Pelodiscus sinensis: one gene and its partners. The protein of the gene in region 4 interacts with the protein of the main gene of each other region in a pairwise test. Links are inferred from orthologs where the notes say so. Each region holds a gene or a part of one and is shown on either strand. Other genes may lie near its edges. The genes, in order: TACO1, TCF25, CCDC148 and SAT1.

Region 1 (7,570 bases), on a different chromosome or scaffold from region 4:
TCGTGTCTAACCCAGACCAGAGAATCTCCCTCCCCCCGCCAAACCTGGATTCCTGGCCCTGGGCCAGTGACTCCTGGCTGAGCTAGAGAGGAGCTCTGAGAAAGGGTCGCCCCATCTCCACTGACAGACTCCCAGCGATGGAGACTCCACCTCATCCCGAGGGGAGCTGTCCCAAGAATCAATTCCCTCCCCTGGTAAACTCTTATTCCCAACGTGAATTCATCTCCCTTCAGCATTTTCCAAAGCATTTCCCTAACATTTTCCAAAGCATCTACATGACATAGGAGCCTGAATCCCATTAATTATCTAAGATGTAGGCTCCTAAAAGGCCTCACATCACTTTTGAAAATGGGACTATGGCTCCTAAACCACTTGGGTGCTTTTGATAAATGAAGCCTGGGGTTGAGTTATTACAGCCTCCTGTAGACAGCCTTGGCCCCCACGTAGACTGCATCTCTCATATCTCCTACTTCTGGCAAAGCTGCAGAGAAGGCCGTAGCCAGCTACAGCCCTTGCACTCCTGCAGTGTGTTCATCTCCACCACTAAACACTCATGTTTTAAGACCCAGACGTGTCGGGTTTGGTCACTGGATGGTGCACAGGAAGGGCCCTTGTGTGAGGAAATGCAGGATCGTCGGGCCCGGCAGGGAAGGACTGACCCGCTGCGGCTCAGCATGAGCCGGATCTCCTGGTAGGCTCGCTTGGCGTTGTCCGTCAGCACTTCGATGAGCAGCGCAGATCCGCCAGGGCCTCTGGCTTCGTAGAGCAGGTACAAGGAGTTCTTCCCTTTGCCCTGCAGCGGGAAGGGGCAGATTCAGCTCTGTGGCTGGGCTCATGTCTTGGGAGGTGCCAGGGCACTTCCCCTTCACTCCCTGCCCTGGTCCAAAGTGCAGGCATTGGGGTTAGTTTCAAGCCAGCGTAACCATGGCTCTGACACCACAGAGCCTTTATCCATGTCCCTGTTCCCTATTCCCACCTCCTCCCCCTTAGCAGGCCCAACCAGACCTACAGTGCACAACCCTGCTCCTACCCCTTACCATTTATGCTCATGTTCTGTATCGGAGGGTCACAAATCTGGGGTCTTCGTCCCACCCCTTTTGTATCCCATGGGAGGGTTAAGGAGTGAGAATGTGCAGGCTTTTCCTATGCCTCTCAGCCAGTCCTCCCTTGCCCCTCCCAACTGGTTGCTTGACCATGGCTTGAGAGATGAGGCAGGCAGCCTTCCAGCACATGCTCGAGTGTTATACCCCACCATACTCTGCAACACGCTTAGCTATCTCTTCTCATTGAACTAGCAAACCCCTTTGGCCGGGCAGTAGTAACGCACACTGTCTTTGTGCTGTGTGCTCAGATATTAATCTACTGTATGTTTGAGGGAGTTTGTCTGTCTGTTCAAGAATTCCTTCTAAATGGTAAGAGCTAGGACCACCAAATTCAGTAGACAGCTTCCTCTTCTCCTAACTTAAAGCAAGGGCAGGGTTTGGTTGTGCCAGGACAAGAGAATGTGCCTGGAATGGGATTGCTTCTCATAAAACCGTACAGAAAAGAGACAGAATCACCAGGCAGAGGAAAGGGGCTGGCTCGGTGCGCCCCCTCCCCATCCAGAAGTGCCCCAGCCCCAAGACTCCCAACCCTCAGGCGCCCTTTAGGGAGGGGCTGAAGCTCCCCCCGCCCCCCCCCCCCCCAATTCATATAGGAACATTGCTGGCTGTTCCCCTTCGTCAAGCCACAAGCCCAGCCTGGCTCCCTCCTTCAAGGCTCCCAACAGCCCTTGGCACTGCCGGGCCTGGCCAATGAGTCCCTCTGTCCCACGAGCTGGGCTGGCAGGATGCGGCCACTTACAACTCCCTTGATGGCCGCCTCAATGGAGGCTTTGGGCATGCTCTTGCTCCGGCACTGCTCGATGATGTTGGCCAGGTTGGTGTTGAGATCAGGGTTGGGTCCCCCCTCTGCAGCAGGACAGAAAGCAGCAGTCACAGGGAGACACGGCGGCGATCCCCTTCCAGGGCAGTCCTGGCTCCCAGCCCCCACCGCTATAAACCTCCAGCCCCCTCCCAGATTCTCACACACCCCTGTTCCCACCCACCCTTCCAGAGCTGGCAACGGGACCTGAGGCCTCTGGTGACACTCTCTGCCCCAAACCACCTGTCCCAAGGCCCTTCCTCTCTTCAGCCACCACGAGCTGTTACCCCAGGCCGCATGAACCACAGTGACTTGTCTGCCCCCCTCTTACATGAAGCGGCTGCTGGGGGGGAAGGGACAGAGACCCAGTCACCTGAGAGGAGGTGCTGTGGGACAGAGCAAAGGTCCAGTGGAGGAAGGATGAGAAGGCGAGACACTACCCCGCAGACCAGCATCTTCTGCTCCAGCAGCCAGGGGGGATGCTGGCCTCAGGTAACAGAGATTAGGGGATGCTGGAGTTAGGAGCAACAGAGTCAGTGCTAGGGGTCAAAGTTGGGCAGGCAGGGACTGTAATGCCCCCTCTGGTTGTGGCAGACCCCTGGGGTCCTGGGGGGCTGTGTCAAGCTGGGGGGCTGTGCCCCCCCCCCGTACCTCTCACAGCAAAGCGCAGCAGCATGGTGAGCTTCTGGAAGAGCCGGCAGCGCTCAGCATCCCGCGGGCCCTTGACGTGTTTGACCTTGGACCATTTGTTGTGGCCGGCGGGGGTGGCACCTGTCGCGTGCAGGGCCCGGCCAGGCGGGTAGCTGGCGGGGGCGGCCAGGCAGGGCGCCAGCTCCTTCAGCACCAGCAGCGAGGCCAGGAGGCGGCAGCGGTGCGGGGCAGCGGCCCTCCCCACGGCGCGGGGCAGGGCCATGGGCCTCTGCAGCCCGCCCCCCGGTTGCACAGCTGGGGGGCGGCTCCTGTGCTGCCCGCGCACACCCGGCCCGGCCCGGGAGAGAGCCAGGAGTCCGGCCCCAGCCAGCGCCCCGGGGCCCCGCTCACAGCCCCAACCCTGCCCCCCGACGGGCTCCTGCGCCCCAGCTGCAGCGCGGGACCCGGGCGGCCGGGCCGGAAGGTGCAGGCGCTGGAGCCGCCCGCTGCTGGAGGCGGCGCAGGCGCGGGGCGGGGCGCGTAGCGACCAGCGGGCGGGGCCTCCCCGGGGTCCCGGCCCGGAGCGCGCTGCCCGGCCATGGCTGCAGCGGGGCCGGCGCAGGTAGGAGGCTGCGGGGCTGCCCGGGGCGGGGGGCGCGTCCCTGGGGCGGGGCCGCAGGCGCCTGTTCCCGGCCCGGGGCGGCGGGCGCTGAGTGCGGGTCGCTTGTGCCAGCAGCCCCCGGTGGCGTTCGAGGACGTGGCTCTGTATTTCACCCGGGCGGAGTGGGAGCTCCTGTCCCCGCCGGAGAAGCAGCTGTACCGGGAGCAGATGCTGAGGAATTACCGGGCCCTGGTTTCCCTGGGTAAGGACCAAGTTCCCTTTTACTCACTGCAGTAACACGTCCCGGCTGTCTGGACACCTCGACTGATCTGTGCCACCGAGTGGCCAAGTGGTGGCCAATGTCAGCCCCTTTCAGGGCGGCTTCCTGTTAAGAGAAATCAGGGCTACAGCGCCTGGGGGTCATTTTACTGTGACTTGTTTAGTTGCATTATGTTCCTGAGTCCTGGCACAGAAGTGGTCGCACATAGCCCATGAGCAACAACCTCTTCCAGGAATCCCTGCACAGCCACTGGGAGCAGCAACTTTGACTCAGGAATTGACTCAGGCAAATCAGGCAGGGAGAAATGTCTCCTGCTGCTTGTAACAGCTCCCCACCGCCCCGAAAACAATGAAGAACGTCATTCACATAACCACCATACAATTGAGCAATGTTTGAACCCCAGCAAAAGAACTGGTACATCTCCCTAAGACTATCAAGAAGGATCATACAAATTGCTTCTTCATAGTACAGCCTGAACTGAGGGGGAAAGACATTTCTAAGGAAGGTTTATTTTATTAGTCTCCTGTTTGGGAATCGCTTGTGGTATCGTCTGAAGGAGTGACAGACGCACCCTGACCAAGAATGGGGCCTTGTTGTGCTGGGCTGCACAAATGTATGAATCCCTGACACCAAAGCTTTAGAAATAAAACTGATTCTTCCCCCAAACAGGCTATTCAGGTTCCACACCAGATTTAATCCACCTGATCGAGCGAGGGCAGGCAGAACTCTGGATCCAGGATGCCGAGGACTCCAGAGAAAGATCAGGGCCTGAGAGCCCCTCCTCGGGTGAGTTCTAATAATCCAGTCCCTTCTGATTTACAGATCTGCTAGCGGATGGTTCATTAATGTAGCAGGCAAAGGCAGAGTGAGCTCCATGGGTGGGAAGCAGAAGGGAGTTACATTGAGGCTGGGAGTTAAGGACCAGGGTTTATGTAGAGGGGAATGAAGTATTGGGAGAGCTCCCTCTGTGGGAGTCTGTCTGTGGAGATGGGAACTATCTCTCTCAAAGTTCTGCTCTAACTCTGTCAGGAGTTACTGTGCTGCAGGCAGGAATGGCTAGGGGAGATTCTTTGGCTTGGATTAGGCAGGAAGCCAAGCAGAATGGGCACAATGGGCTTTTTTGGGCTTCATATCTATGAATCCTAGAAAGGTAGGATTAAAAGGGAAATAGGTAGGTGATCGAGTCCAGTCCCCAGCACTGTGCCAGGGCTAAGTATGACCAAAACCAATATTCCACAACCTTTTTTTTTATAAAGTATTCCTTTATGAAAAGGATGTTTTAGGGCCTGGCCTGTGTATGTCAAATGAGCACTAATTTAGTTGTAAGTGTAAAAGGAAGGCAGTATTGTCAAGTGTGGAAGAAAACAAGCCTTCGCTCTGCGTTTGTAAGCAACAAGTAGCCAGAGGCAGTTTTATTACGAGCTGCAGCAAGGGAAAAACTGGTTCGGATCGGGGAAGGGGGGGTAAGCCCCCCGAGGCAGATCTTCGAATACAAGCAATTATGAAGAAGTTTATATACTGTCCATTACATATAATAACAACAAACAATTAGTCTCCTTCCTATTACAAACACCAATGGCTAACAGTTATTTTAGTTCCACCCAGATGCTCCTTATCTCAAGGTCCCTGCCAGAGTCAGCGTTCTATCCTTATCTCCGTATGGAGGCGAAGGCAGTGTCTTATTTCAGCTTTCCCGTTGTCAAGAGTCAGAATTAGCTTGACTCTTGCTTCACTGCTAACAAACCTGAAATGGCTGCATACCAATTCCCTGTGCCTCCACACAAGATAGAGGAGATGTAAACGAAAAACCAGAATTTGATTGGATGTCCAATAATAACCCTGCTTTTAGGGAAGTAAAAGTAACAAAAACAGCAAAAGCAACGAAGTGCTGATAACCCCAAATAAGAAGTAGACAGAAGTAAAATACAACTTCTAAAAAGGCAGAATGAGACAACAAAAACTAACGTCAGCATAGTCAGGTGAGAGGAAAGATACCGAAACAGGGTATTAAAGGTTGAACTAAACAGACCAAAAGCAGATGGGTTGCAAATCCAAAAAAGCCAGGTTTGATCAACCAGGGCTTCCTCCCCAGTGCTGAATCTCGCTGCCGCTCGTAAGCTCTGAAAGGGAAACACTGGTCATAAGTTGCAACAAAAAATCCAAAAGGAAAGACATAAAGAAAAGAATCTCTCCTGAATTAAACAGCGCTTCTATCGGTCTTAATATAAGTATTATATAGGTATGTCTGATAACTCCACAAACTGTTCAAAGGTAACTTAGGAGGGTATAGCTGTAGGAGGGGTTATTGTTCTCGTCTTAGTTGTACTGCTTTTTCTACTCTTTATTTGTATGTTACGCTGTCTTAAACAATTAAAGATAGTGAATTGATTTAAATGAAAAATTAATTATAAAAGTAAATAGAAATAAAGTCTTTGGTGTGGAAGCAAAGATTTGTGCGCAGCCATCTTAGGGTGTCAGTAGCAGAGCAAGACTCAGGCTAAGTCTGAGTCTGACAACGCGAGAACTGTAAGAAGCACTGCTTCCGTCTCTCGCCTCCATACGGAGATAAGGATGGAATGCTGACTCCAGCAGGAACCTTGAAGATAAGGTAGCATCTGGGAGGAACTAAGAAATACTTGTTAGCCATTGGTGTATATAAAGGGAAAGTTACAGTATAATACTGGCTCTTTACTGTTTGTATTCAAAGATGTGCTAGCTGCAGCTTCCCTTGCAACTGTAAGACAATAAACCGCCTCTCACCTGTTGCTAACAGACGCAGAGTGAGGACAACATTCTTCCACATTGGTTAACCCCAAAGGGAAGTATTCCTCTGTCTGTGGTATCAAATCCTTTAAAGAACCAAACACCGGTTACCAAAATGGCAAAACGAACAGGATTTGACGAGAACAGAGGGTGCCCCTTTGATCGGTTAAACAAGATGGAAGGTACAGAACCTCTCAACCACTGGTTATATCATAAGGATGAGGGTGAAGAACACATGCTCAAAATAGGAGCAGTAGTATCAATAGCGGAAGAAAATCATACATATACCCTACCTATACGTAACACATTCAGGGTTGAGATGTTTAATGGCTAATAATGATCCAGTGAAATGGAAGTTAAAAGATTGCAAAGTACCATTACCAGACGTAACGCAAAAAACCCAATATAAAGAAACAGATTATAAAAAAACTACAAAACATATTAGAAAGAACAGCTGATATGACAGATCCATACCGAAAATATTTAAAATGCCAAGTCAAACAACTGACAAATTGATGAGAGAGGTACTAGAGGACCTTATAAGATATGCTAGAGGAAAGAAAAAATTAACAGCCAACAAATGGGATCCAAATAAAAGGGTCTGTGTACTTTGGGACTTGTTAATAAAAGCCGGAAATACAATAACTAGATTAGAAGGCACAGTAAATACCCTACAAGCCTTATTAAAAAAGGAAAGTCAGGAGCGAGAGAAAGAGGAGAAATAACAGAAAAAAAGAAATGATAAAACCAATAGCCACACCCCCTTCTTATCCTGAATCAGTCATAGAGGAAAATCAAAAGAGGGAAAGGAAAAAAGTAGCCAAAGGGGGTGTGTACCCATGGGATATGCTAATGGAAGGAATATGCACGGAAGAATGTACATGTGGGTTAAGAATAGGAGAAGATATAGGATCAGGGAGTGACCCAATCGAGACCCGCCCAATAACACAAACAGTATATAAACAGAGAAGAGGAGGGCCACCAACGGCCAGTACTGAAGTTAGGGATAGGACCCGAATAGAAATGAATGATCTTATAAGTCGAACCCGAAGGGGATCAGGAGAAAACCCGATTTTGTGGGTAGGAAGGTTGTTAATGGAAAACATGAATGAGTTAATCTCACAAGCAGAACTGACCATATTAACAGGAAATCCCGGGTACTTGGGCGGTCTAATGAAAATGAGTGCCATACGAGGAAACCAAGACTGGCCATTAACTTTACCAGCCGCTGTACCCATATCGATAGCAGCCATAGGGCAAGGAGGGGCCATAACAGAGGGCTCCATAAAGATGAAGGAAGATGTAAAAGCTGCAGCCATAGGAATCTCCTTCCTGTTTTATCAACCCACAACAATAGCCCAACAACAATTTACAGCACCACAGAGAGCTGATCC
Region 2 (7,859 bases), on a different chromosome or scaffold from region 4:
AAAACGTCACAGATGGTACTCGCCACACGGTGCTACCTGGTGTTATCCACCACGGCAGAGGGGCTCACTCCTCTCCCAACAGGCACAGACCGACAGACTCCTGCCGACTACTGGCTCCACACAGCTAGTGCAGCAGGAGAGGCAAAGCTTTGGCAGCGCTCCATCATCACCACCTCTGAGATATTATCACTTGGAACTAGCTTAGCTCACTTGCCCCTTCTCTTACGAGCTTCCCCTACAACACAACAGTGAGGCTGCTCTCCATCCTCCCCCCTCACTGCGGAAATCCCCCTCACTTTTCTTAGACTCAAACCCAACTACAAAGCACCACTGGCAACCCCTCAAGCGCCAGTATTTAACCTGCATTCCCTCAAAACCTGCATGGAATTCTGCGCATGCACATCTTTCAGACAAGCGCTTCCGCGTACTTTGTTAAGACAGCAGACCTGTACTCGTAAGCAACCCGCAAACTAACTCATGTATCCAGTGGAGGGAAAAGGAAAACCATCTCTGCTTCACGTGAGCAGGGCTTTGTTCCCTCCTGTATGTTTTGCATGAATTTAGTACTCATGAAGACTCAGAACTGGTAAGGCTGGCACAAGCCACTGAGCTCAGGTAACTGCTGCAATAACTTCCTCTTCATAGCAGGTCATCATATCCGGTATCTCCAGGTATTCCACTGCCGTCCTCCCCTCCCCCCAGCTCCAGCAGTGACCTCACCCCCAACTCAGCAATGCTCCACTGTGCCAGTCCTAGACCTCAGCCTGTCAACAGGCCCAGGTGTGCAGTGCTTTGCGGAGGGGACCAATGGCAGCTCAGTGAAAAGCAGTCGCTTTCACTTGTCCTTAAGGCAGGACTGTGAGCGCTGGTCCCCGGAGGTCACCGCCGGATGTACTAACCCAGTACGGCACAGAGCGCCAGGTGCCAGCATGAAGAGGGAGGGAGAACGCTCTTCAGGACGATGACCACCCCCACCAACAAGGGTGGAGACTGCTGAACATTCCCAGGTACCTGCAGGTTTGTCACCGTCTGGTCCTGCTGTTGAGCATCCTCGCCACATCTCTGCCCATTGCTCTCTGGCGCTCCAGTTTCAGCCTCTTCATCGTTCCCTGGGCCATCCTGCTCTGTCAGTCTGGAACATGCTCTCTCCTCGTTGCACGCTACAGCCTCTTCCGATTCCTCGTTGGTTATCTATGCAAACAGGGGTACAAGGCTCAGAGGCCTGGGGAGAACAGCGTGATGGATACTTGGAGTCTCTCCCCAGCACAAAGCTGCACCCCAGGAGCTGGGCTCTGTATTTTACTCACATCTGCAGAGAGAGAGAGAAAAACCCAGCCCTGCGACAGGACCAGAAGCTAAAGCCGGCCATTCAGCAGGAGCCTACAAGGAACCTGACAGCAGTTTGGCTGCTGAGATGGGAGCCTGCCCAGCTTGCCCCTCCTCCCCTTGTTTCTTTGCACTCCCTGCCTGCCCGGGGCCATCTACCGCCTGCACCATTTGTCTCTGTGGGGCCGGAGCCACGTCTTTGTGGCGCATTTGTACAGCGCCTGGCGCAACGGGCTCCCGGCCAGACCTGGGGCTCCCAGGGTGCAAAGGGGAGGCGGGGGGCCTAGGCGGGTTGGGAAGATGGTGCAGCGGGCAGCCTGGGGGCTGGCTGGTGCCCAGCGAGCACAGGCCAGGCCAGCAGCTCAAGCTCGCTCGCCCCCGCCAGCTGACTCGGTCACTGTGGGGGGGGACCCAAGAGGAGCCCCTGGGGAACCAGCCCCAGAGCTGGGCACAGCCTAGGACGGGGGCTGACTTGGCCTCCCCCCCCCTGGGTCCCACAGTGGCGGTTTGCAGCATCGCACCCCGCCCCAGCTGCTGGCTCGGACCCTCTGACCCCCCCCCCGCGACCCCGCCTGCCTGGTCCGGTCCAGTGCCTCCCTGACCCCCCCGCGGCCCCGCCTGCCTGGTCCGGTCCAGTGCCTCCCTGACCCCCCCGCGGCCCCGCCTGCCTGGTCCGGTCCGGTGCCTCCCTGACCCCCCCCCCCCCGCAGCCCCGCCTGCCTGGTCCAGTCCAGTGCCTCCCTGACCCCCCCGCGGCCCCGCCTGCCTGGTCCGGTCCGGTGCCTCCCTGACCCCCCCCCGCAGCCCCGCCTGCCTGGTCCAGTCCAGTGCCTCCCTGACCCCCCCGCGGCCCTGCCTGCCTGGTCCGGTCCAGTGCCTCCCCGAACCCCCCCGCGGCCCCGCCTGCCTGGTCCGGTCCAGTGCCTCCCTGACTCCCCCCCGCGGCCCCGCCTGCCTGGTCCGGTCCGGTGCCTCCCTGACTCCCCCCCGCGGCCCCGCCTGCCTGGTCCGGTCCGGTGCCTCCCCGAACCCCCCCGCGGCCCCGCCTGCCTGGTCCGGTCCGGTGCCTCCCTGACCCCCCCCCCGCGGCCCCGCCTGCCTGGTCCGGTCCAGTGCCTCCCTGACCCCCCCCCGCGGCCCCGCCTGCCTGGTCCGGTCCAGTGCCTCCCTGACCCCCCCCCGCGGCCCCGCCTGCCTGGTCCGGTCCAGTGCCTCCCTGACCCCCCCGCGGCCACGCCGGCCTGGTCCGGTCCAGTGCATCCCTGACCCCCCCGTGACCCCGCCTGCCTGGTCCGGTCCAGTGCCTCCCTGACCCCCCCGCGGCCACGCCGGCCTGGTCCGGTCCAGTGCCTCCCTGACCCCCCCGCGGCCCCGCCTGCCTGGTCCGGTCCGGTGTCTCCCTGACCCCCCCGCGGCCCCGCCTGCTTGGTCCGGTCCGGTGTCTCCCTGACCCCCCCGCGACCCCGCCTGCTTGGTCCGGTCCAGTGCCTCCCTGACCCCCCCGGCCGCTCACCAGCTCGAACAGGTTGCTGACCCCGCCCCGCTCCGGCCCCCTCCTGGCGCGGCCCGGCGCCTCCCCCGGCGCCTCGGGGCCCAGCCGCAGCCCCCCCGGCTCCAGGGGCTCCTGGCCCCGCTGCTCCCCCCGCAGCCTGCGCAGGGCCCGCCGCGACATGGAGCCCGGCGCCCCGCCGCTCTGCGCCTGCGCGAACGGAAGTGCCCCCCCCCCCCCCCCCCCCGCGCATGCGCCGCTCTCTAGCCTGCCACCTGCGTCGCGCGCCCCGGGCTCGGCCGGCGCGAGATAAGGTGCAGCGGGACCCAGCGGCGCGCTCCCGAGAGGCGGCCGAGGCATCAGCAGCTCCCCATGCCCTGGCCCTAGGGGCAGCCCCTGCTCTGTGGGGCCCCGCCCCCTGCCTTCCCACGTGTTGCGTGGGGAACACGTGGGCTTCCCTGGGTCCGGCCCCCAGGCTCGTGCCCCCCAGCATGGAGGAGCCTGCGCTGGTTGTCCGGCCCCCAGCCCCACTGCAGGGCAGGCCACGCAGCATCTGTCAGGCGGGGCCCGGGCTCTGCTGGGCAGGGGAACGTGGGGAGCTGGGAGCTGCCCCTGCGAGTTTCGGGGTTTTGTTGGGTTTGTTTTTCGCTTCTCACTTGTGCGCAGCCCCCGACTGATTTGTTCTGTGGGGCAGCAGCCCTCGCCCCTGGAAAGGTTCCTCCCCTGCTGCAAGAGAAGGAATAGAGACCAGCAGTGGGCAAAATATCGGCACCGCGGCCTGGCCTGCTCCGTCCATCGCAGGGTCCATGCCCCTCATGTCGCCTCCCCGGAGGGATTTAAATCCGCCCTGACTCCCAGCACTGACAGTGAAGGAGAGACACAGCCGGGGTCTGGTTAGCGGCTGGGAGGAACCAGCCGGGGTCTGGTTAGTGGCATTCAGGCCGGAGGTGACTGCTCCCGAAGCCAGGCAGCACCGACGGAGCAGCTGCTTTTTGATGCTCAACTCTCTTCCCCTTTCACCTCTCTCCGCGTCTCTCTGGAAGTGGCTCAGGGCAGGGCCTACCGATTCCGGGCACCACCCCGACCACAATGGGGTGTCACTTGTGGCGGGGCCTTAGGCACCCCCATAAAACCATTGCTAATAATTATGTGCTCATCTCTCATTGCATCATTCCGACGCACCTCCACTCCAGCCCCAAATCCCCTTCTCCCCGACACTGCTCTGTGCTTCCTTCTACGCTGCCTCTTCTGCTGCTGCACCTCCCCCCCAGCAGCGCTGTCCTGTTTGAAATCCCAGCTCCACTTCCGCCAGGACGCCCACAAGCCAAGGGCCATTAGCCAGGCTGTAGGGCCGGGGGGCCGCCCTGGCTGGAGGGGAAAAGTTCTGACGTGGAACCAAAATGCCAACGTCCCCTGGGCTAAGCGTGGCTATCTGGGCGCTGCAGCCTCCCTCCTCGCCTCCCTCACTTTATCATTTTCACGTGGTGCAGCTTGTTCCTGCTTAGACTGGAAGCGTTGGGGGCAGGGAGCAGATCTTCCGGTTTGTGAGGCACTCAGCACAGTCAGGTCCTGATCCCCTTCCCCTCGGCCCTGCCTCAGGGCTGTAGCATTCATGGTCCGAGGGCTCCCTGCCTGGGCTGGAATGGCTACCATGGGCCAGAGCTGGCCTGTACCCATTAGAGGAGAGCAAATCTGGCTTCCTCATGGCTGCGCCCCCCCTTCTGTGCACTGAGCCGGCACGAGGGCTCAAGGTTCAGCCCCAAACGAGATGCCAAAAGTCACCGTCCACCTGCCGCTTTCAAGACCCTTCCCTTTGTCCCTTGCACACAGACACAGGACTCCTTGGCTAGGCTGGCAGCATGCAGGGGATGGGCCGTCCGGGATGCATACTGAGAGCTCCGGGGGCGCACGCCCCCCTCGTCAGGGGCTCTAATTCCGGCCTGTGCTGCTCTGCCAGCTGCTCCTCCGCCTCCAAAAAGGGAGGGTCCGGCAGCACTCGAGCAAGCGCCCTTGCCAGAGACCCGTGTGGCTTGGTCGGGGCTGGGCTCCCGCAGCACCGCACGGGCGGGCGTCCTTCTTCAACAGCACCGTGACCCTGGAGGGCAGGATGCTGCAAACCAGTTCCACAGGGCTGGTTACACGGGTGGGCAGGGGACGGAGCTGGCCATGGAGCTGAGCACTGATGCCGGCTGGGGCACTGGGAGGTCCCTGCTCCAGGAGCCAGGTCTGTGGGGTTTCCACCTACGTTAATGAGACCTGCCAGGAGAGAGACCCTCTCCTCCCGAGCGTGGGGCGCCAGCCAGCCCTGGGATGGAGAGCCTGCCCTCCCCGTCTCACCCGCGACAGGAACAAAGCGATTCAGCAGGGCTGGGAAAGCCCTTGGCTGGCTCTGGGGCCCAGAGGGATGGCTGCCTCAGTGACTCAGAGGCTGCTGTACAAGGGCCCAAACTCAGCCCTCGTCTAGCCAAGTGCAGTCTCTTCGGGCTGAATGTGGACTGCGACCTTTTTCCCGTGAGCCCCAGTCCCGGCTGCAGCCGCTGGCTGGCCCCCCAACAAACACCTCCTGGGACAAGGTGCTGAGAGTCCGGGTGGGGAACGCGCTCTCCTCCCTCTTCTCAACACAAGCCCGGGGCAGGCCGGCCCAGCTCGCTTGCTGTCTGGACGCCTGCTGCAGGGTCCCTTCCCTGCTATTTCCTCCCGTGCCGCTTTCAGGAGCTCTCCGGGGCTCCCTGCGGTTCAGTGCTGTCTGGGGCGGCCTCTGTCCACCCCACGCACCCTGCTCACCGTCCCCCTTACAGATTCCTGTGCTGGCAAAGCATCGGGAGACGACCAATGCAGCTCAAAATAGGGATTTATTAGTACGGGAGCAACATTCTGTACAAGAGCAACCATGCCAGTCCAGGGGCATGTTATTTACAGCGGACTTTTCATCTGTACAGGATGGGCTGTGTACAAAACACTGGCCACCGGGTCAGCCAGGGACAGGACGTGGGGACGGGGTCCCCTGCATTTCCCCACGCCTGCCAGCTCCGACCCGGGCAGGAGGGGGCGTTATTGCAGAGTTGGCAGGGGGATAAGGCATTGGCATTTGCACACGTCAGCAAAATGTGGCCATGTCAAAACAGAGAAGCAAGCAGGGCGGCAGTGCAGGCTAATCTTGCAAGCCGGGGCCCAGGGCCAGCAGAGTGCCATGTGTTTTCAGCAGGACGGCACCCCCAGCATGGAGAGGGGCTGGTGGGCTGTGGAATCGGCCCTGGCTTCTCTTCCACGCTGTGCCGGTCTGCAGCGAGCATGCACCTTCCCTCAGATGCAGCCAGTGCCCAGCCAGGCTTGGTTTTCCAGAGCCCGGTTCCGTCATGCTGGGCAGAGATCCACTGGCAATTTACCTGACCTGCCAGGGTCCCTGGGAGGCTGACCTACGCTGCCAACTTTTGGGGCAGCTTTGCTGGCTCGGAGCATGGCAAGTCTGACCCCGCGAGGCTGGCAGAAGCCCCAGTGTAGACCCAGGCAGACCTGCAATTAGGGGCTTTTTGCCAGCCCAGCTATTTGGTTTGGGGAACGGATACACACAGGACCACCAAAGCCCTCGGTTACCGGCACTAGCTGCATTCCCGGCAGAAGGCTTTGCCAGTGTAACCAGCAGGCCAGGCCTGAGTGTGTAACTGACCCTCGGCCGGCACAAACCCTGGTCTGCGCATGGAGCCAGATCGCGTGCACGTGCGAAGCGTGGGCCCTCGTGCGACTGAAATCAGGCCCTGCCGCTGGGCTCGTGGGGGGGGGGAGGCACGTGCAGGTTGCATCGCCCTGTGTCGCACACACAACGTGCACCCCTGGTGGGACACAAAGGGCGAGTGGCACATCGTGGAACAGCCCCTTCCCCTCCCACGGCCTGGTGCTTTCCCTGGCTGTCGCTGTCTGGGGGGGCACTGCTCCCCGTACTCCGGCCGCCTGCCCACGCGAAAGCCCCGCACCGGACGCTGAGTCTTTTGGCCCAACCCCCGTGTCTCTCTTGGCCCCGGGCCGAGGAGGACGCCAGGGGCCGGGCGGCTTTGCACAAGGACGCCCCAGACAAACATCTGACGACGGGCACACTGAACAGCTGCTGTGGCTGGCGACCCAGCCAGGCCACCGAGAGGAAGCAGCAGATGGTGGAGACTCCAGGCGGCCAGCTGGACTCCTCAGGGTCCAGACCCTCACGTTTTGGCCAGGACAGATGTTGGGCCACATCTGGAGAGAGCCTGGAGCTGCGGCCACGGCCAGGCCTTCCCTGTTCTGTGGCTAGGCAGGTCCAGGGCCCAGATGAGCCTTGGAAGTGCCAGGAGGCCAGGGGGATGGGCGTGAGGCTGGCAGGGTCTCTTCCACCTCCAGGGAGGCAGGGGCTGGGCAGAGCCTTTTCTTCTTGCTCAGAGAGCAGCTGCCAGCCAGGCGCGACCGGGGATGGCGAAAGGGCCAATGGGGAGACCCGGGGAATGGCGCCACGGCGGGCCTACTCCCTGGCCACTCCCCGGAGAGGCTCCAGGGGGCGGAGCTGGGGACCGAGAGATTTAGCACCCGCCGGGCATCTGGCGAATGGGCCCCAACAGGGCAGCGCAGCCGGGCTAGCTCCCACCCGCTCGCACAGGGCAGCAGGGACACCTGGCAGCAGCAGGCCAGGCTGAGTGCCTTCGGGCTCAGGCGGTATTTGCCCAGCCCATGTACCACCCTGAGCTCTGGGCGGCCCGGGCCTCCCATGTCTGTGCTCGGTGCTGGGGGCTCCCCGGGGGCACAGCCCCACTCCGGATTAGTGCTACTCCCTGCGGAGCGCGGGGCGGGGCGGGGCGGGGAGGGGTGGTGCGCAGGCCGGGACACACATGCAGCCTCGCGGCCCAGAGACAGTCACAGCCGAGGGCCTGAATACACACCCCAGGGTGGGGTAAGCGGCGGGGGCTGACCGCACCAGGCAGCCAGAGCCCGGTGAAGGGAGGCGAGCAGCCCAGGGGAAGCCGCAGAGGGGACAGGCAGACTGGGGACGCCTCACGAGCCCGGCTCGGTGACTGAACTAGGA
Region 3 (7,610 bases), on a different chromosome or scaffold from region 4:
TCCCACTATTCTACCTGTAGCCAAAGGTGTTTCTCTGCTCTCATCCAAGTAACAGGATCCCAAATATAAGAGTCTTAGCTCAAATTAAGGCTGGCATGATAGAGTTTTGAAAATATTGAGAACCCCTTTGAAAGACTTCTATTTGGACTAATCGTAGGACAGGTTAGATTAAGCAGAAACTCATTAAGAGCTCAAAAAGGGAGGATAACAGCAGTACCAATAAAACAGTCAGCAGATACTAATCTACTAACCTGCTCATTCAAGAGTGAAAGAGCCAGAGAATACTTTCAAGAAACCAGATTTAAGAGTAATAGGAATCCCAGATGTTTCAGAAGGAACAAATGACATCAAATTCTTATAGGATTTACTAATGAACGCAGAGTCCTCTTCTAGTGACACTGAGATTATGTATATGTTTTTGTGCCCAAGTTTTGAGAAAGACATAAAACTAATGGAAGCTGAAGCCAGACAAATTCAGATTAATCACTTTAGTGGTCAAATGTGTGCATAATCACTGAACAGACTGGCAAGTGAAATTTAGATGCTTTTCTTCTTAGTTTTAAATCAAGACTGGATGGCTTTTGGAAAGATAAACTCTAACTAAACATGTTATTGGGGTCAATAGAAAGGTAACAAATGAAATTAATGGCTTGTGATATACAGGAGGTCAAAGTAGATTATCCAATTGCCCCTTCTGTAGTTAAATTGCATGAATCTGTGGCTGAGAACAGATTTGAAATTATTATGGTTCATTGATAAAGAAAATGACCTTCCACATGCTTTCAAATGGGACAGGACCTCACCAAATTATCTGCCTTGCTCTATTTTCTCATTACTGCCAATACAAGCTTTAAAAACAGTGTATTGACTCTGTCAAAGTAGGCTCACTACTGGAACAGTATAAATTTAAACCAACAAATGGTCTGGTAGCACTTTATAGACTAACAAAACATGTAGAAGGTATCCTGAGCTTTTGTGCATACAGCCCACTTCTACAGTGTTCAACTACTATAAGCAATACCATGCTTACCCCTAGCAGGTCACAGCACAAGAATATAGTGGGCAGCTGCCCCACAGTCAGCACAACGGACTACTATAGTAGATTACCTTGCAGCTGTCCTTGGAGCCACCCACAATCAAAAGGAAGCAAAGATAACTCAGGGCAATATGGCATAAGAGCTTTTTTCCAAAACCCCAGTCACTGTTGTGAACTCATTGCATATAGAGAATATTAGTAATTCTCAATTACATTAAACATTATATACCTGAACTTGTACATAGACCCCATTTACTGTTAGTCATGGGAAGGATTTTTAAAATAAATATTGAGAAGCCACCTATTCAGAGCACTTGCTGATTTAGGTGACCAGCAAATGGGTTCCAAATTAAGTTATATCAGTATAAAACCCATGTCCTTCAGTGATTAGTAATTAATGTGAAATGAAAAGCTTCAGAGGATAGCTGAGTTAGGCTACACAGGATAAACTTAAAAAAACCAACAACAAATAGTCTGGTAGCACTTTAAAGATTAACAAAAAATGTAGATGGTATTATGCGCTTTTGTGGGCACAACCCACTTCTTCAGAACCTTCTTAAATGTGAAATGAGTTGGTGGTTTAATTTCACAATCAGTCATTGCAAAGTATCCAACAAAAGCACAGCTGAAAACCTTATCAACAGTGTACGCAAAGCGGTCAAAGACTAAGTAGAATGGGACACCTAAAGGCGATTCCCTCAGATCAAAGTTGTAGGGAAGCCTGTTTTGTCATTTCCCTTTCTGTAACTAATCTGTAGTAAGACAGAACTTCAGTCTACAATGCTATCTTGTTGCTAGACCCAAGATGGCTACATTCACTGCCAATATTTTTTTAAATCACGTATTAAATGTAAGATTAGAAGGCTGTGAGCAGGCACCATCCTTATCACATACTTTTTTTTCCATGTTACCAGCACCATAATAGATAGATCAAGATTAAAATTACCATAGAGCACAGCATAATTTACATATATACCATAAGTAACTCTGAAACTGAAGTCTAGTTTATTTTGTAGACCAGCAACAACTCATCACATAAGCTGCACTCACATAACAATCCTTCAATTTACTTCACATATGTTGAACTAATTTAGTAGTCAATTGTCTGTATTGTATTTTGTTTAGGACCTATAATACTGCAGTGATACACACTACAGATATTATTTCTTTAGCAGGTGCTATTTCCTTAGTAACTAAGGTATCGGCCTTTTCTACTAAAGGGTTACTCTCTAATAGGAACATTTTGCACAGCATACCTTTCTCAGGTTGCCCCTTTAAATTTTTAAGAGTCAAAGCAGCTGTCCTTCTAAAGTAGCCATTTTGTAACTTGTTGCTGCAGCTCCTAGTCTTCCAGGCAAGAAGTATGCTTAACTATTATATTGGATTCTGTCATGGCTAAGTAAATTCCCCTTCCAATAGATCTATAGACTGCAATTATTTCGCCAGACCTACTTATATAGCATATAGTGACAACCGTCAGTTACTATGAACAGCATCTCACCTACAGTCTGATGGGGGAAGAGGAGGCAGAGCCAGAAAAAGGCTGGGATTCACACTTACCCAAAGAAGCATGATGGACTCTCAGATGGTATTTTATTAGTCCCCTCACCCACCCTGAGCAACTAGTAGAAGTGGTCTGGGGCAAACTTCACCACTACAGTAGGAACTTTTTGGAATTTGCACGTTATCAATGCATTTCCCGTCCTCTCGCCTCACCTTTCCAGCGAGGCAGGCGAGCCTGACAGTCACCAGCCTTGGGCAGGGCTGCAGCCTGCTGACTCCCGTGTAAATCCTCACCACTGCAGGTACTTCTGCTTACTAGGCCCCAGGGCATGGAAAACGATTTTACTCCAGCCAGTTACCGTCCTCTCAGCAGCTCCACTCCCTTCCCCTCTCCCGCCCAGTGACCTCTCTGCGCCCAGGGCTTTCCCTCTTCCCCTGGTGACCTATAATGATTCCCTCTCGCCTTCCGCCGCACACACCCGCGCCTCAAGGAACTGCAGCTCCGAGTCCTTCCACTCAGCCCCATCACAGCATCGGTAACCATAACAACCTCAAGTAGGTCTCTCATTGGTTGGTTTAATATGCGGCAGCGACCAATAAGATGCGGCCCTGAGCAGGGCTCTTCCAATAGCATGGTGGCACAAGGCAGGCCGCTGTGCTGACGTCCGTGGTGGAGGGCGGGACTAGGGAGACTAGGGTGAAGGGGGTCTGGACTCAGCAGCGGCAACAGCATGGAGACCCCGGGGTAGGGCCCGGCCCGGCGGGGAGGCTGCAGCTGAGGCTTCTCCGCGCCTACAGCCCCTACCAGCGGCGTCAGCTGTGCGGTGAGTGAGGCTCCGGGGGCATGGGAGGTCTGGGGGGCGCTCTGGAGGGTGGGGGTACCCTGTGGCGGGGACCCGGCTCCGGATCAGAGGGGCGCCGTGCCAGGAGGCGCATACTCCAGCTGTAGGGAGGCGAGGAAAGTGGTTGAGTCTCCTTGAGAGGGTTGTGGTTCCCTGTCTGTCCCTTCGCCCCCAGACCTTTTTCCCTTGGCTTTTCGCCCCAACATCTGTTTAGCCGCCCCCCCCCCCCCCCTTGGCCATCTCTAGCCTCTCCTCCCTTGGCCCGTCTGTGCCCTATGCCCTCCCCCAGCCCCCTACCCCCCGCCGCACTAGTCTCGCCTCCCTCCCAAGCCTTTCTCATTGCCTCCCACCCCCGGTCTGATTCCCCTTCCCGCCTTTGGCCTGACTCCTCTCCCAAAACGCTCCCCTAACGTCCTCTCGGTTCTAACCTCTGCCGCCCAGACCCCTTTTCCCCGCGCCGCCCAAGCTCGTGTTTCCCTTCAGCTTTCCGTTTCCCTGTAAAACTGGCTTTGCTCGGCCTTAGGCTGAATGTACGCAGTCAGTTTCCTGTAGCCCCTTCCCTGGGCTGGGCTTCCAGGTGTTAGGCCCCGGAACTGCCCCTCTGCGGTCACCGAGCCTGCATGTTCGAGGAGTGCGGCGCTTGCGGCGTGGAGCGCAGAGAGGCAGGTGTGAGGCTTTTACAGTGTGTGGGGCGGGGGAGGGAAGCGAGGGGGGACACACGCTGTTTGTTCCTGGGGCTTTAGATTGTGCTGGAATGTTAGGAATGCGCCAGGGGAAGCGCGCACACAACCCGCTGCAACAGATCGCTCCTTGCCCGGCTCTCCTCCAATAGTCAAAGGTCACCAGAGCAATCTACCCGGGAGCTAGCGAACCTCTCTGTGTCTCCATGCTGCAGAGGGGGCAGGAGCGGTCTCTGCTTGCCTTCGGCATGGCATTGCACAGGTTCAGGTTAGATTCTCGCTGCATTTCTCCGCGATGAGATCAGTTCGAAGGTTGCTTGTTCCTCACCGCACCCGAGTTCAGGAAGGCTGGATATTCATTTCCTCCCAGCTACCACGGGCCTTTGATTTCTGTGCCAAATTTTGCAGAAACATTTGTGCAATTAGTGTTATTGTTTGGTTTATGTCCTTAAGCCGAGCTGCAGAAGCTTGATGGTGATAGCAGTGGGGGCGGGCGGGTAGGAGGAGAGGAAAAATGTTCGTCGTGTGTGGTGATGCCGCAACACGTTTTGCTATATGTTTTTGTTAATACTTGTGAACGACGATCTAATCTGCAAAATGTTTCTGTGCATGGATCCTTCTTCTTTAACATGAACTACAGCTTGTTATCTTACTGAGCTGCATTTATACCCTCATAATGCGTAATGAAAAGGAACAGAGAGGCAGTGTTTTGCCAGAGATGGGACAGATAGGAACTGTCTGGTACTGTTAAATTACAGGGCGTGTCAATTACCATCTGAAACAACACAGAAACGCAGCAGGAGGCAGCAGTCGCCACCACGTCTTTCCCCAGATTTACATTGTTAGCACCAGGGCAATTTTCATTGAGCTGTTCAAACTGTCATAGCCATTTAAGTTGATATTTGTGAGAAGTGATTTGAGAGAGAAAAAAGGGATTTAGAAAACAGTTGTCCAGTTGTAGATAAAATAATAGAATACTAGTACTGTTTCTCTGAGCACAGTTTAGTGGTGGTTGTTTCCTGTCTAACTTTTGCTTTCTCTGTCAGGCTGAAGAAAATAATTAGGCAGCGCTTAGCTAAAGAAACTGTAGTAGCCACTAAGCAAGTCCAAGCACTATCATGCAAACTATTGCCTTGACAAACATTGTTTGGGACAGGTTTGTTAATAGGGCCATATGATCAGGCTATCAAGCGGTACTGTTATCTGTTTGTCAGTATTTTTAAGCTAAGAAAAAAGCATTGTACATATTCCTCTTTGGGACTATTATATTGAACTGCCTTGTGTCCACACGCTGCTAGGTGATCTGCAGTCACTGATGATATATGCTGAATACAATTTAAAAATTAGGTATGTTTTTGACATAACTAAATTTCAGATTGCACACCAGTACCCAAATCTTGAAGAAAGCTATCTAAGCCCTGAAATCCTCTACTGCCCTTGATAGCAAGCACAGCTACAGGAAAGCTGTTAACTAGGCAGCCTCTTTGCTTGATCAATAAGCAACAGAAATAGAAGATAAGTGACAAATATATTTAAAATAAGGGTTGCTGAGTGACAGTAATGCAGCTGTTTCATAGAAGATGGATTGAGTTTACTAACTTGTCAGTGCATGAACATTTTGCTACTATCACACAAAAAATAAGTATTAGATGAAGTGGGTCTTTGCCAACGAAAGCTTAATCTGTTAGTCTTTGAGGTGCCACAGGGCTCCTTGTCGCTTTTACAAAAAACAAGGAAATTGGGAGACATGATTTAGTAGCTGATATGTCCATTCAGTCTGGGGATGCTGGGAGGTACAGAATTGGAAGAGTGACATGGATTTTAAAATGCTTGGACTCTGGGGTGTTTTTGCAAAATCAAGATTGGATGCCTTTTGGGAAGATACACTTCAGATAAACACAAGTTATTGGGTCAATACAGAGGTAACTAGTGAAATTTGATGGCTTGTGATATACAGGAGGTCAAAGTAGATGAATGTTTAAGTTGGAAATCCTAAATTATGCACAGGAACATTGAATATATTCTCGTAGAACACTGATTTTTAAGAAGCCAACTCTGGTTTGATATGCAGATTTATACAATATCTTTAGTTGAAACGGATATGTATGTAGCTTAGGATAGATTAATCCTTGTTTAGTATTTTCTACATATCAATTTTACATAATAGCCCAAATGCACACGTGAATATAAAATTAAAAATTAAATTATCTGTTTAAAGCAGGGGTGGGGAACCTCAGGCCCTGGGGACAAGATGCAGCCCTCGGCTTGTCTGGATCCAGCCCCCGAGGCTCAGGGTCCCGCCCCCCAGCATTGGGGAGCCCGCACTGGTGCTCCAGCCCTCCTGCTGTGCCCCAGGGTCTGTAGCGCACAGTCTACTAGTCTGGGCACCCCTAGGCTCTGGTGTGAGAGGGGAATGTGAGGTGTGTGTTTCTCCTCAGTTGGGGGCTACAGTAAGGATCCCCCCCTCACTTCTCACTTGTGTGCATCCCCCTCCCTGACTGATTTTTTTTTTTTTTTTTGGTCGGTCAGTGACCCCCAACCCAAAAAAGGTTCCCCGCCCCTTGTTTAAAAGGTGGCTTCAAAGTAATAATATTTTGTAGCTAGCTTTTGATTCTGCTCATGGCTGTCAGTCATTTTATCAATCATTGGGCAAGATTTGGGAAGGGCGGGGAGAATGAAGCTTTCTTGACTAATGAAATGGGTAGACTGTACTTTTTTTTTTTTTTTTTTTTTTTTGGTCTTAGAAAACATTTAAATTTGCTGAATGTCTGATACCTCTGAAAATTAAAATATTGGAACATAATGTTTAATTTTAACTATTTTAAAATTAGGAAAAAAGGAAACTAAAATATCCAACTTTAAAAGTTCAATTAATACTGATTTAGTTGGGTTAAAATTGTACGTGTTGCCTGACCCTTGGAATGTGTTACTGAAACTATTTTGTGTACACGTAGATAGCATGACCAATATGCTGTGCATCTTCCAATCAAAGATTGAGGTGGGGGAAGAGCATGTCCTCTGATCTAATAAACAAGTCAAACTTTTAACAGAAAATGATAGGATGAGAGGGTTTTTGGTTTTATTCGTCCTTACAGTAGGAGTTTCATACTTAAATCAAACTGGTACACTTTTTCATGTGTTCATTTTTTTTAATTGTATCCTTTGGTATATATGGTTGTGACTATTTTCTTCCACTATTTGATCTGAGGAAGTGGGTCTGGCCCACGAAAGCTCATCATCTAATAAACCATCTTGTTAGTCTTTAAAGTGCTACATTGTCCTGCATTTTGCTTCAGCTACCCTAGATTAACACGGCTACATTTCTATCACTTTTTTAAGGACACTTGAATTTTGTTTTTGAGAAGACATCTTATACAGGGAGAGAATTCATTAAAGTTTTCTAATTACACATTGGAAATGTTACATATCTTGTGTGACTCTTTTTAAAGCATAGCATTTTCACTTACTGCTTTGCTTATGTATTTAAAAGGTAACAAAAAGTAATAAGATACAGTATTTTATGTAGCAGCTTCATGTGTTGGCAAAATA
Region 4 (7,277 bases):
ATGATTCATGGATTTGTCATTTGCTGGAATAATTCCTCATTCTTCAGTTGCCATTTTCAACAGATGTTCTTTGTCAATTTTGAAGAGCCTCCATCCTTCCTCAGAGGACAGATCAGAAGCACCTCTTCTTTTGTAGAACTTGATAGAAGGTTCATTCCATTCTGCCACTATAAAGTGCATGCTGCTACAGCGGCATTTGAGAGCAACCTACAAACACATGACCAGTATATTTATTAGGTGTGTAGCAATTTTATTAATTGCATATGGAAATCTATTCCTCCATTACCGATAGGCAAGTCTCTCCACACATCATATTGCTGAAGTGAAGACTGCCATTAATATTGGCAGCTGTTTTAATCATAGCAATTTCCTTCAACCCACCTTGGTCTCGTTGGGCACAATGGAGATGAGGGACTGTCAATTCTGATTCTATGAAGTACTGACAGATACTAAACCAGTAGGATTTTACAGAATTTGATAAACCTACCCCATATGTCCATTTGTCCCTTTTATTACCATAACTGAATCACTCATTTTCAAGTACTATTGAAGGGTAATATTAATTGAGCTAAACAGACTTGCTTCTCTGCTGTGGTCTTCTTGTGCTAAAAATCTGACAGAGAATGGAACTATTTACCTGACTCAGATTCTTCAGAATTTCTGAACCAATGCCAAGTCCTAAAAAGTCAAGAAAGGTTGGTTGTAATTTTTAAAAAAAATTATAGAACAGTCCATTTTGAAGCTATTTGTTAAAATATACCTCTGAACTCTGACATTACAAAGAAATCTTCAAGGTACAGCAATTTTCCAATCCAAGGGTCATAAGTGAAGTAATACATGGCAAAACCCACAATAAGATGTCCTGTAACAAAGAATTACATCAGCAAAAATACCCTTAAATTTGAAAAGCAACAAGATTAGTATATTTCAACTTGCATGCATACAACCTAAATACCTAGGTTTCACATGCAACCATTAATGTATTAACTGTCATAAGCCTGGTTCAAGGATGGAAGTTTGCAATAAGCATACTGAGTTGTAGGTAAAACAGGAATTCTGATAGCTTGAGATGTGTTGTGGAATGAAGATTATCTTTCTAGCTCTTGGAAGGCAGTGTTTACGGTTATAGCGAACAATGAACATCTAAGGCTTTCTGCTACAGACACATTATACATACCCTATTATCAGTATGTCCACTTTGGAATATAAAACTGGCTTACATTTAACACGGCAGTTCAGAATATGCTGGCACTTTGCTCAATTCTGCTTTCTTAAAAATTGTAACACAACACTAACAGTAAATCTAAAAACTACACCTTTAAAAGACTGTTTTCCAATCAGTATCTCTCAAAAATTACTCAGTGGGAAAACCAGGAGTGCTCCCAGGAAGCCATAAGTTAACAATGGCATCTCCAGCACCTCCTTGGATTGTGTTCCCATTAACAAAGTGACAGTCTGTATCCTGGGCACCAGAAACATATCTACTTTGGCCAACAGCTTTCCTTGTTTGCTTGAAACAACTCTATGGCTCACTCTGTAAGAGTAGCCAACTGTCAGGTGCAAAACTGGTACCCTCTTCCAATATCATCCCACTCAGTCCTAAAACCTTGAGACTTCAAATCATGTTGTTAGCCATAGTAGTTTGCACATACTCATAAAAAGAGAGTGCATACAGGATTTCTGATCTACCGTGTGTTTTTTGGTAAATGTTTGGGAATAGTACTTGTCCCTGTTAGACCTTACCTCATGTATCATGATCATCTACTTTATTGTGTAACGGATCTTTTAGTTACCTCCCCGCCCATCCATGTACACGGAAGGGCCATGTACATGGCGAAGCTAGAGACTGTAACCTGAAGATTGGGGACAAATTAAAGAAAAAATGTGATTCAACAGGATTACATTAAGGGAAATTAGGGTCAAACAAGAACAAACTAATTAAATGGAATTACTGTGTATCATATATATTATACCTGGTCTCCAGTGTCTTCAAAATGGCTGATCATTTTAGAAAAATATCACAACTCTTCAATATCAATAACTGTATTTTAACTTTCTTCTTATCCAAATTCCCAGCTGGGGCTTTATGTATAATCAGCAGCTTTAAATAATGTGTTACATACATCCTGTGCATTTCTTATTTTAAAAGAGTAGCAGGAAATCTTACCTTCAGCGGTCCACTGTTCTTCTGGAACTTCTGCAACAAGACAGTGGTAGAAAGGGTGCTCACCAAAGCCATCTTCAAGCAGATCTACAAAATGACAATAGGCTGACGTGTATTAAATATTAACAGTAGTAGGACTACACCACACCAAACTCTGAGCAGCTCATGTTACCTTTTTCAGTTAGGACTACTTGATCCTCCATATCCTCATATTTAGCTAGTTCCTGAAAAAAAATACATGCACAGATATACATTTATTTCCATGCCTCAAGGAGGCATTTCTTATCCAAGTGCTATTTATACACAGCAGAGCAGAGAGGCAGCCACTTGCCCGCTGCCAAGAGCGAAGAGCCCCCGCGTGCCCGTGAACTGAACACAAACAACTTGTTTTTGCCAAATTAGGAGTTCTTGGTTCTGGGCGGACAAAACTGACACTGGAGGAGTTTCGAGCCCCCCCCCCCCCCAAACCGGGGCAAAGGTCCTGGGTAGGAGATTTAGGCAGAAAACAAATTTTACCCCCCCCCCCCCGCAGCAGCAACCCCCCCCCAGTAAGCCCCGCCCCGCCGCACCCATCCCCCCGCCGGCGGCACCTTGATGAGGCGCAGCAGGTCGGGGCAGTCCTCGGGCCTTGCGCTGCGGATGCGGAACGGGGCCATTTTCGGCGGCGCTTCCCCCTGCGGCCCCCCCGGCTGGCGAGTCCCCGGTACGTGAAGAGGAGCAGCAGCCGCTTGTTCATTCGTGTGCCCGGCGCGGCGGCTCAGTCAGGCTCCGAGCATGACGCGGACACAGGACCCGACCCGACGCCGATTCCCCCTCTGCGCCCCCGCAGCGCCGTGTGGAGGCGGCCGGCCGCGCGGCCCCTCTATATATCGGCAACAGGCTCCGCCCCCCCGCCAATGGCCTGCCCCCCCGCGCAGATCCTCGGCCAATCACTGCGCTCCTGACCCAAGCATTACCTCACTCTTCCGGAAAGGGGCGTGTCTTGCCGGCTGCAGGCCCCGGGCGCGCGCGCGGACGGCAGCGCCCCCTGGCGGGCAAAGGCCGCCCTGCTCCAGCGCCAGCTCCGCGGGAGGGGGAGGGGTGAGAGGGGAAGTGCCAGCCCCGCCCCAGTGACTCCGGCCCTGGGAGACGCCCCCCCCCCCCCCCGGTGCCAGGAAAATGGCCCTGCCCGGGGACACTACCCGCTGCCCGCTCTGCAGCCCCACCCATTTTGGCCTCCCCCGGGCTGGGAAGCGAGGCTTCCCTTCCCCACTTGCACTGGCACCACCCTGCGCTGGGGGGAGAGAATAGAGGCTGGGACCAAGAGATTCAGCAGGTGGCATCTACCATCTCACAGGGACCTTGAAAGGTCATTGAGTCCAGTCTCCTGCCCTCATAGCAGGACCAAGTACCATCCCTGACAGATTTGCACCAAAGCCCTAAATGCCCCTCCCCCGTAAGGATTGAACTCTCAACCCTGGGTTTAGCAGGCCAATGCTCAAACCACTGAGCTATCCCTTGGTGGAACAGGTAGGTGGGGTACAGAGATAAGGACACCAGCCCAGGGTGCAGACTGAGGTGCGGCTGGGTTTGAAGGCAGGGAGTGGGCTGAGGGGTGCAGACTCCAGACAGCACTTCCCTCAAGCAGCTCCTGGAAGCAGGGACGCATTCCAACTCTGGCTCCTAGGTGGAGGTCCAGCCAGGTAGCTCTGCTTACTGCCCTGTCCACAGGACCAGGTGCTACCCAACAGCTCCCATTGGCCGTGATTCCTGACCAATGGGAGCTGCAGGGTCAACTGTTGGGTCAGGGGCAGCATGTGGAGCTCCCTGGTTGCCTGTATGCATAGGAGTTGGAGGGGTGACATGCCCGTGCTTCTAAGAGATGCTCAGAACCTGCATTTCCACACAGCGTTGCTGACCAAACTTTTAACTGTCTGGTCAGCAGTGTTGTCTGGAGCCATCAGGGATTCCTTTCAACCTGGCATTTTGATCAAAAACTGAACACCTGGCAGACACTAGAATTCCCTTCCAGTGCCAAAAGCACAGGCTCCTTAGAACCACAGGAGACTCTCTGCCAACTGCTCGTAACAGTGTCAGGTCCAAGAGTGGGGAGTTATATGGACCCAGGGTGCCTGGGCCCCAGAAATATTCAGAGGTCCTGCTTCAACAAAGTTTGGGGCTGGGTTTTCCCCCTGGTGGCACCTAGCCTTCCACCTGCTTCAAGTGCCCCTGCTGTTAGTGAGAGTTGCGGGAGTCATGCCTGCCAGCGTGCCCCCCTGCTTAGAAGCTACTGCCGGAGGAGGTGCCTTAGATAAATGCTATATGCCACCTCTCTACCTACATCCTCTTCTGCCCCCAAACATCCTCCCAGAGCCTGATACCTCACCTCTTCTACACCCCAATTCCCTGTGCAAGTCCAGAGCCTGCACCCAGCACCCAAACTTCCTCCCATAGCCTTAGGCAGGTGGAAGAAGTGAGTTCTGGGCACCAACAACATTTCTACAAACTTGCCACCCCAGCCCAGGGAGACTTAACAGTGAACAACTTGTGAGGGGAGAGGAAATGTTTATCTAAAAGCATCAACCTCCTATTTTCCTCCAATGAAAGTGCCACAGATGTCTGTAATAACAGCATGCAGCACACAGAGGACTTTGATTTGTAAAAAGTCTCACTAGAGAGTGTTAATTAATACAAAAGACTGCATTTATGGGAGGGACACCAGGGCCTTCCACACGTTACCTTTCATGTGATTCCATCCTGCCCTCAACCTTCCTCCCCCCACTCTCCTCGTGTCCCATCTCAGAACCTCATTATCTGGTGATAATTTTATAACTGGTGTGTGTCTGTTGAATAGATGAAGTTGTTAAATGATGATCTGGTTTCCTAGTATCATCTGTACTGTACTTCCAGATGTCAGTGAGAATCTAGAAGTATCCCACAATGGAAATTTCTTAAATGAAAGACGATGGGAAGGATAATCTCCCTGCTTTCTTTTAACACATTATAAGTGCCTCCATCTTGGGAAAACTAAGCTTCCACCACCAGGAGTGGCCCGAGGTGGGCTGCGGCAGCTGGTGCCCCAGGCAGAACATGCGATTGGCGCCCCCGCCTGCAGGGCCGTCAATGGACAGATGTCAGCATCGGGCACCCCGGGCGCCCCATTTAAGATGGTGTCCTAGGCAGCAGCCGAGTCCGCCTATAGTCACGGGCTGCCTCTGTCCATCATCCAGCTTGCTTATGGAAGAATCCCAAGCACAGCTACAGTGGGGAGAGGGCTAAGCAGCAGTTCTGCAGAAAAAGACCTGGGGATGAGTGGATGAGAAGATGAATAGGAGTCAACAGTGTGCCCTTATAGCCAACAAGGCTAATGGCATATTGGGGTACATTAGCAGGAGCATTGCCAGCAGATCTATGGAAGTGATTATTTGGCACTGGTGAGGCCACATTTGGAGTATTGTATCCATTGCAGAAGAATGTGAACGCATTGGAGGAGTCCAGTGGAGGGCAACAAAAATGGTTAGGGGGTGGAGCACATATCTTATGAGGAGAGGCTGAGGGATTTGGACTTATTTAGTCTACTTAAGAGAAGAGTGAAGGGGGATTTGATAGCAGCCTTCAATTACCTGAAGAGGGGTTCCAACGAGGAAGGAGAGAGGCTGTTCTCAGGGGTGACAGATGGCAGAACAAGGTGCAATGGTCTCAAACTGGAGGTCTAGGTTGGCTATTAGGGAAAACTATGTCACTAGGAGGGTGGTGAAGCACTGAAATGGGTTACCTACAGAGGTGGTGGAGTCTCCATCCCTAGGGCAGTGTTTCTCAAAGTGATCCACGGACCCATTCTGAAAAAGCTGCTACGGGGCCACTCTGGTTTGTTTACTTACTGGCTCTGCAGCCACGGAGCCTCACTGCTCCCATTAGCTGTGGTTTGCCATTTGCAGCCAAGGGGAACAGCGGGAAGCAGAATGACCTGGGCCACTACTTCCTGCAGATCCCCTTGGTTGCAAATGGGAAATTGCAGCCAATGGAAGCCATGAGGCTCCTTGGCTATGGAGCCAGTAAGTAAACAAAGTGGAGCAGCCCAGTAGCAGTTTTCTCAGAGTGGGTCCATGGACCACTTTGAGAAACACTGCCCTACAGGTTTTTAAGTCCTGGGCTGACACAGCCCTGGCTGAGATGATTTAGTTGTGACAGATCTTGCTTTTATGATCATAACCCTCAGCTTTTATGATCATACCTTCAGCCTCCCCTCAATGACCTTCTGAGGTCTCTTTCAACCTTATGATTCTGTATTTATGTCTTGCTCTTCCAGGAACTAGGAAAGCAAAGATGCGGTGACATCTGGGTTTGATGGAAAAGAGTAAGAGGCATAGAACTGTGTGTGCTATGTGCATCCATTTTTATTTAAATCCCTGCTTCATTGATTACGTCGGTATGTCTAATTTACATGCCTCAGTCGGCAGAGGCATGTAGTCTAGACATGCCCTTGGAGAGGAAAGAACAAAACCATTCCAGCCAGAGATATGTTACTTATGCCACAGGTATCAAATGCTGCAGACTTGTGAGTAAGTCAGCAGACATCTGATCTTTGCCACTTGCAAGGGAGAAATCAACAATCAACGAGACTAGAAGAATCTCTGTACAATATCCAACTCATTTTCCCCATAGCCCATTGCCCATCCCTCTCAGCTGCTTGTGGCTCATTCATCCCCCCTAAGGCCCACTCTGCCCCTCGCTTCTATAGGCCCAGTGGAAAGCCAGACTCAGCCTAACTCAGGACGGTATAGTAGTGAAGCTTGAAGGTGAGTCTTGGGGCATCTGTGCTACTGCTGTAAAAGTTCCTCTGCTGCCACCCTTGAAGTGCCAGAAGAAAGTGAAAGGTGAGCAGGTGTGGGGAGGCTCCTTTGAGTATGCACTGAGTCACTGGCCAAGAAGAGCCGGGACGCTAGCACCACCTGGGCTGGGAGAGATTCGAGATGAGCCCTAGAAAGGGACAGTCCCTACCTAAGATGAACTGCTTCCTCAAAGATGCTTGAGGATCCCTCCTGTTTGTCTCTTCTTTCTGGGGTCCTCAAGCATCTTTGCCCTGCCTCTCCCCACTCTGTGTTAGGAAAAGTCCATTAAGTCAACTGTAGAT

Evidence for each region.
Region 1: the proteins of SAT1 (region 4) and TACO1 interact in binary tests that used the Homo sapiens proteins (3 or more experiments, as listed by UniProt). The two-hybrid records come from large-scale screens. The link is inferred for Pelodiscus sinensis from reciprocal best matches to the Homo sapiens genes SAT1 and TACO1.
Region 2: the proteins of SAT1 (region 4) and TCF25 interact in binary tests that used the Homo sapiens proteins (3 or more experiments, as listed by UniProt). The two-hybrid records come from large-scale screens. The link is inferred for Pelodiscus sinensis from reciprocal best matches to the Homo sapiens genes SAT1 and TCF25.
Region 3: the proteins of SAT1 (region 4) and CCDC148 interact in binary tests that used the Homo sapiens proteins (3 or more experiments, as listed by UniProt). The two-hybrid records come from large-scale screens. The link is inferred for Pelodiscus sinensis from reciprocal best matches to the Homo sapiens genes SAT1 and CCDC148.

The regions. Positions count from the first base shown.
Region 1 is NC_134714.1:129,756,069-129,763,638, reverse strand, and holds the start of TACO1 (translational activator of cytochrome c oxidase 1), read right to left. Parts: upstream 3,008-7,570; 5' UTR 2,816-3,007; coding exon 2,554-2,815; intron 1,950-2,553; coding exon 1,843-1,949; intron 794-1,842; coding exon 660-793; intron 1-659. UniProt on the Homo sapiens protein: Acts as a translational activator of mitochondrially-encoded cytochrome c oxidase 1.
Region 2 is NC_134722.1:2,323,407-2,331,265, forward strand, and holds the start of TCF25 (ribosome quality control complex subunit TCF25), read right to left. Parts: upstream 3,014-7,859; 5' UTR 2,999-3,013; coding exon 2,840-2,998; intron 1,192-2,839; coding exon 1,012-1,191; intron 1-1,011. UniProt on the Homo sapiens protein: Component of the ribosome quality control complex (RQC), a ribosome-associated complex that mediates ubiquitination and extraction of incompletely synthesized nascent chains for proteasomal degradation.
Region 3 is NC_134717.1:32,112,653-32,120,262, forward strand, and holds the start of CCDC148 (coiled-coil domain-containing protein 148), read right to left. Parts: upstream 3,009-7,610; 5' UTR 2,871-3,008; coding exon 2,753-2,870; intron 1-2,752.
Region 4 is NC_134711.1:205,581,915-205,589,191, forward strand, and holds the start of SAT1 (diamine acetyltransferase 1), read right to left. Parts: upstream 3,014-7,277; 5' UTR 2,821-3,013; coding exon 2,755-2,820; intron 2,389-2,754; coding exon 2,337-2,388; intron 2,252-2,336; coding exon 2,168-2,251; intron 863-2,167; coding exon 761-862; intron 679-760; coding exon 638-678; intron 208-637; coding exon 37-207; 3' UTR 1-36. UniProt on the Homo sapiens protein: Enzyme which catalyzes the acetylation of polyamines. Substrate specificity: norspermidine = spermidine >> spermine > N(1)-acetylspermine. This highly regulated enzyme allows a fine attenuation of the intracellular concentration of polyamines.